Tribolium castaneum: one gene and its partner. The protein of the gene in region 2 interacts with the protein of the main gene of each other region in a pairwise test. Links are inferred from orthologs where the notes say so. Each region holds a gene or a part of one and is shown on either strand. Other genes may lie near its edges.

The links. The genes of interacting proteins can lie anywhere in the genome.
Region 1: the proteins of eya (region 2) and Rga interact in a two-hybrid assay, tested with the Caenorhabditis elegans proteins (2 studies listed by BioGRID). The link is inferred for Tribolium castaneum from reciprocal best matches to the Caenorhabditis elegans genes eya-1 and ntl-2.1.

Annotation. Positions count from the first base shown.
Region 1 is NC_087396.1:22,481,523-22,485,784, reverse strand, and holds the start of Rga (regulator of gene activity), read right to left. Parts: upstream 2,808-4,262; 5' UTR 2,464-2,807; coding exon 2,315-2,463; intron 2,185-2,314; coding exon 1,802-2,184; intron 1-1,801. Other genes in the region: Fpps (farnesyl pyrophosphate synthase), read right to left, coding at 3,794-4,129.
Region 2 is NC_087396.1:15,480,457-15,484,401, reverse strand, and holds the start of eya (eyes absent homolog 2), read right to left. Parts: upstream 2,811-3,945; 5' UTR 2,611-2,810; coding exon 2,530-2,610; intron 2,478-2,529; coding exon 2,428-2,477; intron 1-2,427. UniProt on the Caenorhabditis elegans protein: Tyrosine protein phosphatase. Acts probably as a transcription regulator in the embryonic and postembryonic development of several tissues including pharynx, vulva and gonads. Required for the development of anterior tissues during late embryogenesis.

The DNA of each region.
Region 1 (4,262 bases), about 7.0 Mb from region 2:
ATATTTATTTGAGAGAAGAATTATTGACTTGAGTCTTGAAAAAATGTAGTTTCAACAATTTTTTTCGGCATTTTCACCAAAAGTTTATTAACGAAGATGAAAACATAATTAGCAAATTTTTTCGTAAAGTTAAAAAAACATAATGTTATTGTTCAAAAATGCATATCCCATAAACACGTACTTCAACAAGAACCAAAAACAAAAAAAGACATACGATTTAAAACATCGCATAGATCACTATACTTTTTTTATAAAGCTTTTTATATCTTTAATAAATAAAAAAAGAATGGTAATTTAGTTATTTCTCTGTCTTTTGAACAATTATTTTTCGAAAATTTTTGCTAAAAATAACCAAATTAGATCGAAATTAATCTTGTTTTAGCTTGGTTGGCTAGATTTACTCAACTCTTGAACTGCTGGAGACATATTTATATCAAAAATATCGTAAAATTACCAAAAATATATCGAAATTGTTGTTCTTTGTTTATGTCACTCCATTTTGAGCAAAATTTCTTCATAAATAAGCCAAAACATTTTTAAGTTTTGAAACACTTTTTTGAAATAAATCCTCGGACAGTTTTCGCAAAAACAGGCAGAAAAGACACACATGTATCTTAAAATTTACATTATTTTAGAGCATTTTTATACGTTTTACAGCCAAAAAAGGAATTATATCGCGAAATTTCGTTAAAACAAGCCAAAAATTCATTAAATACGACAAAAAGTGTTGTTTTTGGATTTTCAACTGTGTTTTTACAGTTGATATACTCTATCTTTCTGACAATTATTTTTATCAGTTACTCAAGCCTTTAGGAATTTTAATAAATTGAGGATAAATGAACTGACAAAAACAGTTTTTGCAGTGTTTCACAACAATGACACGCTTTTGTTTAAACTTTCATAAATCAAAATCATTATTTATTTACACAACTGTATTTCTTAGCTAACTGTACTTTCGAAAATTACTCTCTACAAACATTTTTTTCCTTTTACAACGAATGCTTGTGGTTCTCCAATTTTTTAATTTATTTTGGTTACCTAATCTCTCGCGTGTGTTTCGACCAGTTGTCGATTAACCGTTTTATAAAAAAAAATTAAAAAAAAAACGTATTTGCACAGACACGTTTCATCAAAAACAAGTTTAAAAATTGCTCGTTAAACGTAAATAAAAATCGGATTATTCCACTGTATTATCGGAAATGTCTTCAAAATAAAATCTTGCAAAATCGGTATAATTATATTATAATCAATGCATTTATAACAACGTAATTCAGTGACACCAACATTTACATATAGTAAACAGTTTTTTGTCCCTAATACATGGCAACACCTGTTATTATCACACACCCTTTGGGAAATATTTTCACGGTTGGGTTTCAACAATTTTTATAAACATTAGCAACTAAAATCACCGATAATTTAGTGTTGCCAATAATTTTTTACCCAACTATGAGAAAAATTGTGGTCAATATAATTTATTTATTTATTTGAACGCACGGTATTTTTAACACCTTTCTAAGTAAAACGCATTTATGTTACGGGTCAGTTGCCATTTTAATTGTTTCAGATTTTATCCACTCTTTGCAAGCTTTGTTCAGCGAATTATTCGCACAATAAATGAAAATCAAAACTGTTAGGAATAACAAAAAGCAGTTTGGGCTAATTTACAAGTTTAAAGTTTTTGTGTAAAAAATAAGGAAAAATCGACGGCGTTCCTCGAAAATAAAACGCAAAATCAGTTATCAAAACAAATATCAATCGCCTTATCGATGTTATTTTAGCTGAGATAAGTGGCACTCACCGGATTTCGCGCTGTTTTTGTCGTTCTCCCGGGCACTGGAGGAGCCGTCGCCTCCACCCCCCGTGTTGTTTTTCTCCCCCGACGTGCTCCCCCCGGGCGATACGCCCTCCCGATTTTGCGTTCCCGGCAACGCAGGAAAGTCCTCTGACGACATAGTAAACTCACTCGCTTCGGACGTGGGCTGCTTGACCATTCCTACGTAGGGCTTCGCCCCCGGCATGGGGCTCGGCTGTGGAACGTTATCACCCGAACTTCGATTCGTTAACGAGGGAAATTCACTAAGATCCAGTAACGAAGGGGTGTTAGTGTCTCCTGAGCCAAACACAGAATTAAAGGAACTATAACCTCCCAACGAGTTCATGTTACCCATTTGGCTACTATTTCTACAACAGAACAGAAATGTTGCCATTTGCGCTTGACACTTAGGTTATGGTCGCTTTTGACATAAACAAACCCTAGCTGCGGCAGATTGAGGTCAGCTAGAGCTGCTTATGGCGGTGGAAGGATAGTTACCCCATTGCGGGAATTCCCCGCCGGTCTGAAGGCGCCCTTTGCCCGAAAACGGGGGTAACATGACCAGACATAGAGTTACTTCCGAAGCTAACACTGGATCTTCCGAGGCTGCTACCTCCTATGTTCCTTGTAAAGTTCAAATTCGCCATAGCTATCTGGTGCGGGGCGAGCCACCTTTTAGCATAACGGAACTGCAGTAGGACACTGAAAAAATCGCTCCTTGCTTCGCCACACTTCTTATGTTAAATTATCAGCACAAAAAATACAAATAACATCATAAACACACGAAACTTAAATGCACGATTTTCGCTTCAACTAGATTATTGAGACCACTTGATGAAGAATGCACGGTTCCAGGCTCGGTTAAAAGCACACCAAAAACCTCTCGCTATACAAAATAAAGGCGTAATTTTGACAAAGTAGATGTTATTGTCCAAGTTCGGTCCGCCATTACCGTCGGAAATGTCAAGATGGAGAGTGTCAACTGTCAGCCACGGCTTCGACCCACCGCCGAAAGATGGACATTGCCGCAGCCAATGCTAGTTGCATAACCCACACCTTCAATTACTCGATCCTAACTTAATTTCACCTTTACCCACTTCATAAAAAACACAAAAAACTAAGTTCTCGTGCCCCGTAAGCAAAAATAAAAAATATACTTACCTTATTCAACGTTTTCCGTATAGTCAAAGTATTCAAGCGGTAATGTTGGTTGCATAATTCGCATTATTTAATTACTTTGCTTATAAAAATGTTATTAACTATTATTTATTATCTTATTATGTTGATCGCCCATTGATATCAATAATTTTGACTAACAAAATCATAGGTCCATTGTTACCCGGCGCATCCACCATTTTTGCAAAAGTGTAACCAATAGATGGCACTGTTTTTTTGTGATTTTTTTTTATAGAAACTTTAATCAAAATAACGAAAACACAATCCACAATTAGATTTCGGAAACTTATAACGTCAAAATTTGACTTCTTATCGTATTATAAGACAATTTGTATAACGATATTGAATCGTCTGATGCGAAATAAAACAAAACACTATTATAAACGTATATTTATTATTATTACTTCGTAACAATGATTAAAGACATGCACCTTATAAAAATCGAATGACTTTTCTGGTTGGTAACAAAACTTACCAGGAAAAAAGGAAAAACACAAGTGTGTTAATATTCGACAATATTTCAAACTTGTGCAGCTTACAAATACGACTAACTTAATGCCGACTGGCCTACGACTAATCGACTAACCCAGCCTGCACGATATCACACAGAAAAAGACTCGAAAATTCACAAGATAACTCCAAATACCCAATAGAATTAAAGCTTAATTACAACTGAATCAAACACTTATTCAGCACAGCTAAATAAAAAAATATCAAAAGCAATAAATTCCAATAAAATAAACCTTAAAATTAACTCAATTATCTTGCAAATAATCAAAATACTGATTCACACACACACTACTAACAGTCCCTCCGGTAAATTTTCTCCATAATTTTGAAAAACAACTTGTGTGGAAGTCCTTTGGAAATTTGCTGGATGTGTGTACGGATGATGTTGAAGCTCTCCTCCTCATAGATGGCATAAGTGTTTGGCAAACTCAACTCTTCGTACAGGTTTCGGATGATTCGGACTGCTTCAGGGTCGGGACGGCCGTAATACTCCTCCATTATTTTTCGCTGGGTGGGGTTGGCCCTTTGGAGGGCCACCACAGCCAGCCAGGAGCACTTGCCCTCGCGGATGTCGTTGCCCTTCTTGCCCGTCACCTCAGGGTCGCCGAAGCAGTCCAGGAAATCGTCCTGTTCAAAATTCGAACTGTGATTTCTCGACGCAAAAATTCTCAGAAAATTGTAAAATAAAATAACGCCTGTTATTCAATTTTGTTAAATTAAAATTTTGATTTCTGCTTTAGACCAAAACTAGCTAAATTAG
Region 2 (3,945 bases):
TGAACAATTTGTGAAACCAAAGTAAAAAAAACAATATTTTGAGCTGAGATCAACTAACTAGTAGGTCTGTACTACCTAGCAGTCTTTTATCCCTCTTTGTGCTTTACGAAGGAGAAAGGTGTACGTAAACAAGCTCAATGATAAATATTGAAGAAAAACTTTTATATGCAAGGTTTTTGCGAAGTTGCGGCGTTCCCTTTAACAGATTATAGCATGCATTGATGTCCTTAAGAGCTCTTTAGTAAAATACAATAAGTCAATAACTAAAATTTTTAAATCCGATCCAAAAAAAAGATGTTTGGGGTTAGTAATTTTACTAGGACGATTTAAGTTAAAACGGTTAAGAATAATAAATACATAGTATATACAGTAAAATTTTCCTTAATGGACACCTCTTTACAACGGACATTTTTGTAGGAACGTAACAAGAGCATTGGAAAATAATGTAAGAAAACCTTTCGACAACGAACTCTCTGTATAGTGGACACAGACAAAAAAATCCCCAATAAATATCAAATAAATTTACCTTTTACAACGGACAAACCGAAAGCCCAGAATTAAATATCGATGAGTGTATGATTTTTTTTAGAAAAACGTGATAAAAAGGTTGATGAAGACGATCGTAATAAGAGGAAAACTTGCCTTAGAACTCATGTTCTCTGAATATTTTGAACCTGTTAAAAAATAGCTGAAATTAGCGTGTATTCTGTAACTTTTTTAACGGGCTGTTAGAATTTAACACTGGTTAGAATCGCAAATCAAAGAATTTTATTGGTTACTGCTATAGGAACAACGATTAACGGTCTTTAAATTTTAATGGTTTCATTACAGAATATGTATTATGTATCAAATAAAAATTATAAAAAAAACATTTTTCCTAAAAACAACCAAACAAAAATTGAATATTTTAAGTACAAAATCTGTATATTTTCTTTTATAATACTTATTTATAAATGAATTTTTTTTTATTTATAATAAACCTAGGAATAAAAAGGAAATTCTGCGTACGAGTTAAACATTTTTTTAAATATATTTTTGTGATAAATTAAATTTTAATGTTTGATGGCAGTTTATGGAATGATGCATAAAATAATTTATTTTATAATTTATTTTAAACTGCCCACCTCTCATTAATGGACACGTCTCCAAAACGGACAATTAAAAATTCTCCACCGGTGTCCGTTGTTGAGAGGTTTTCTTCTGTATAACGTACTAGATCGTGTAAAAAAAATCTTAACTTCGCGAATACTTCGCAACACCAAACTCAACTTTAGAAATACGTTACACATTTCTCAGGAATTTGAGAAAAATCTGTTTAAAAAATGTTAAATGTATGTAGGTACTCAATTTCCTAACACCACCAAGGATAGTTTGCGAAAGATTTAATTGCAATCCAAATTAATTTTGTATTAACCCAAAATTTTACAGAGCCACGTGTCACTAAATTAATTGGCTTTCCCGCATCTGATTTAAATTTATTATCTGAACGATCACAAGCAGGATTATGCTACGTCTATGGCCAGATCACGAAGCTGTGAATGTGAATGCTAGTCGACGTTTTACACAATTTTTGCAAATCCTACTACTTCACTGTTTATAACAAAAGGGAAAAGCTCATCCTCATGCGAAAAGCTTCGTATTTTTTTTAAATAACATCAAAAATTTTATTCCCGAAACTTTCTTTTGTAAGTAGTTTGTTTAATTATCACTCGATTCTGGTATGTAAACACTTAATTTTTTTTGTAACACGGACAATAACTTCAAGATTTTTTTACACTGGAATACAATAAATAGTGTTTAAAGAATAGTTTAAGCAGCTTAAATAACAAAACATAAACATGATGAAAAAGTGTTTTTAAAATTAAACTTAACAAAACTTACAACCACAAAGCTGCTACTTGTCCGTAGGTTTCTAGACAGATACTATACGGATATTGACAGGGCTTCAAAATATTCTATAAAACTCTTGAATGAGTAATGTGAGAATTTACTATACGTCATTACTAATTTTCATTTCTCCTTTTTATAAATTGTAGCATAGTTAAAACTGCACTTAAAAATTTGAATTCAAATATTCGTCGATTCCACATCTCAGTTTGAGTGTTGCAATTTTTACGACTGCGAGCTGAGCACAGTCGCCACAAAAGGTCAACCTTCACGCTTCACAGGGTGGACGAATTAAACTCAAGATAATAAATATCGCCCCCTATCCAATCGCGGATTAAAATGGAAGTGCACCCATTTGACAACGGTTACAAGACCATTATTCTGTCAAAGTGGCGACTAACAAGACTTTATCAGATGACAAGAGTTGAGCCTTGTGGTAATAAAGTCGGCGGAGTATGTAAAATAGAAACCTCGCGGTGGAACAACAACCAAAGGTCATGTCGGACTTGGCCAATTTTTTGAAACTGTTTCAAGACTTACCGATCGCGATCAGTTGGGTCCGACGTTGCATCAGGCCTCGGCCGCTTCACCTGAAACGAAGAAGTGATTTCAACGGGAGCTTCGCACTTGACATTCCTATACCTTAGAGTCGCACATCTTATCGATTATCGCGCATCGTGTCGATTGGGCATTGAGGTAATTGCAAGGCATTATAGTCACCATGGTAGTGGCACCCGACGGCTCTCGCGACCACACCACTCAAAGGACCATCGCCACCCGCACTCGACACCGACCAACGCAAAATTTCGAGCTTTACGCACTGCCACAGGGCGAAAACATCGCCAAAAGTCCAAACTCAGCTTGGTCGCGACACCGGACTGCTTTACATTCCTTCCTCCGCGCCTGCAGCAGACTGAAAGCCCTCGCACGAACCGAGGAGGAGGGGTGAACGCACACCTCTCTGGTGGAAGGAGTCCGAACTAACGGCGAGCTTTCGGAACCAATGGCGGTGATACTCCGGGCTCCAATAGTGTGCAGGATAATTATTGTTTTATTGTGGATAATAAGCGGAGGAATACCTGTTCTCGAGAGGCCACGGACTGGAGAAACCGGAAGTTTGGGAAATTTTCAAACAGATGGGAAAATCCGAACTAAATCTCGTTTTTCTCGCATCGATAAGATCGTAATAAATACGCACGACCCTTCCGATTTTACCCCCGAATCACCGGAAATAACACAATGTGTTTATTATGGCCATTGCGAGCGGCTTTTAGGGCTTTATTTAAATACTAGTTTCAGGACTAGATCAGCGGCTTTTGAACAATTAAACGATTGCTTTGTGCCAACTGTGTCAAAATAAGCGGAGGTTAGCGCCAACTGGAACCCGGGGCTCAAATAACACGATCTGCTTCAGAAACTGAAATTATGGGTACTTTCAAACGGTACTAGTTTGCCTATACTTTTTGCACTAAAAAATGGCTTTCCGAGTCGAAGGTTTAGTGGGAGGCTGGGGCCGGGAAGCGCCCATAAATCCGAGTCAGAGTTAGTCCCATTTTTTGTGCAGGTCCCGCGTCAACATTAAAATATTTGACCCAGATGTCACATGTCCCATGGTCCGTTCGTGACCATCATCAAGCCAGCACCAGTTACAATAAAATTTTACCATGGTGAATTCGATTAGGCCCGTGTCCGCGACGAATTTCGCCGTGTACCTCCGTCCGTAATCAACATAAAAATAAATAATTGGGCTTGTGAGCGGGCGTTTGTTTATTTGCTGGTGGCTTTCGTTTAAGGGTTGACTGCCATGAAATTGCGTAACGAGAATGTGGCTGTGATTAGCACGTCCGAGTCCGGAGGATGAGTGGGTGCGGGAAAAATCAAGTGACGGGGTAATATTTCTGTAATATTGCCGATAAGATATTGCAGATTGTTTTGGTTGGGATAAACATGCTGTAATGTGATGCTGTCGACAAGAGAAACGCTGTCGGTTTATGTCGTCGATACATATGGATATGTCTGCCAGACATGCTTGCGTTTGTGGCTTGCATGGACATTGAT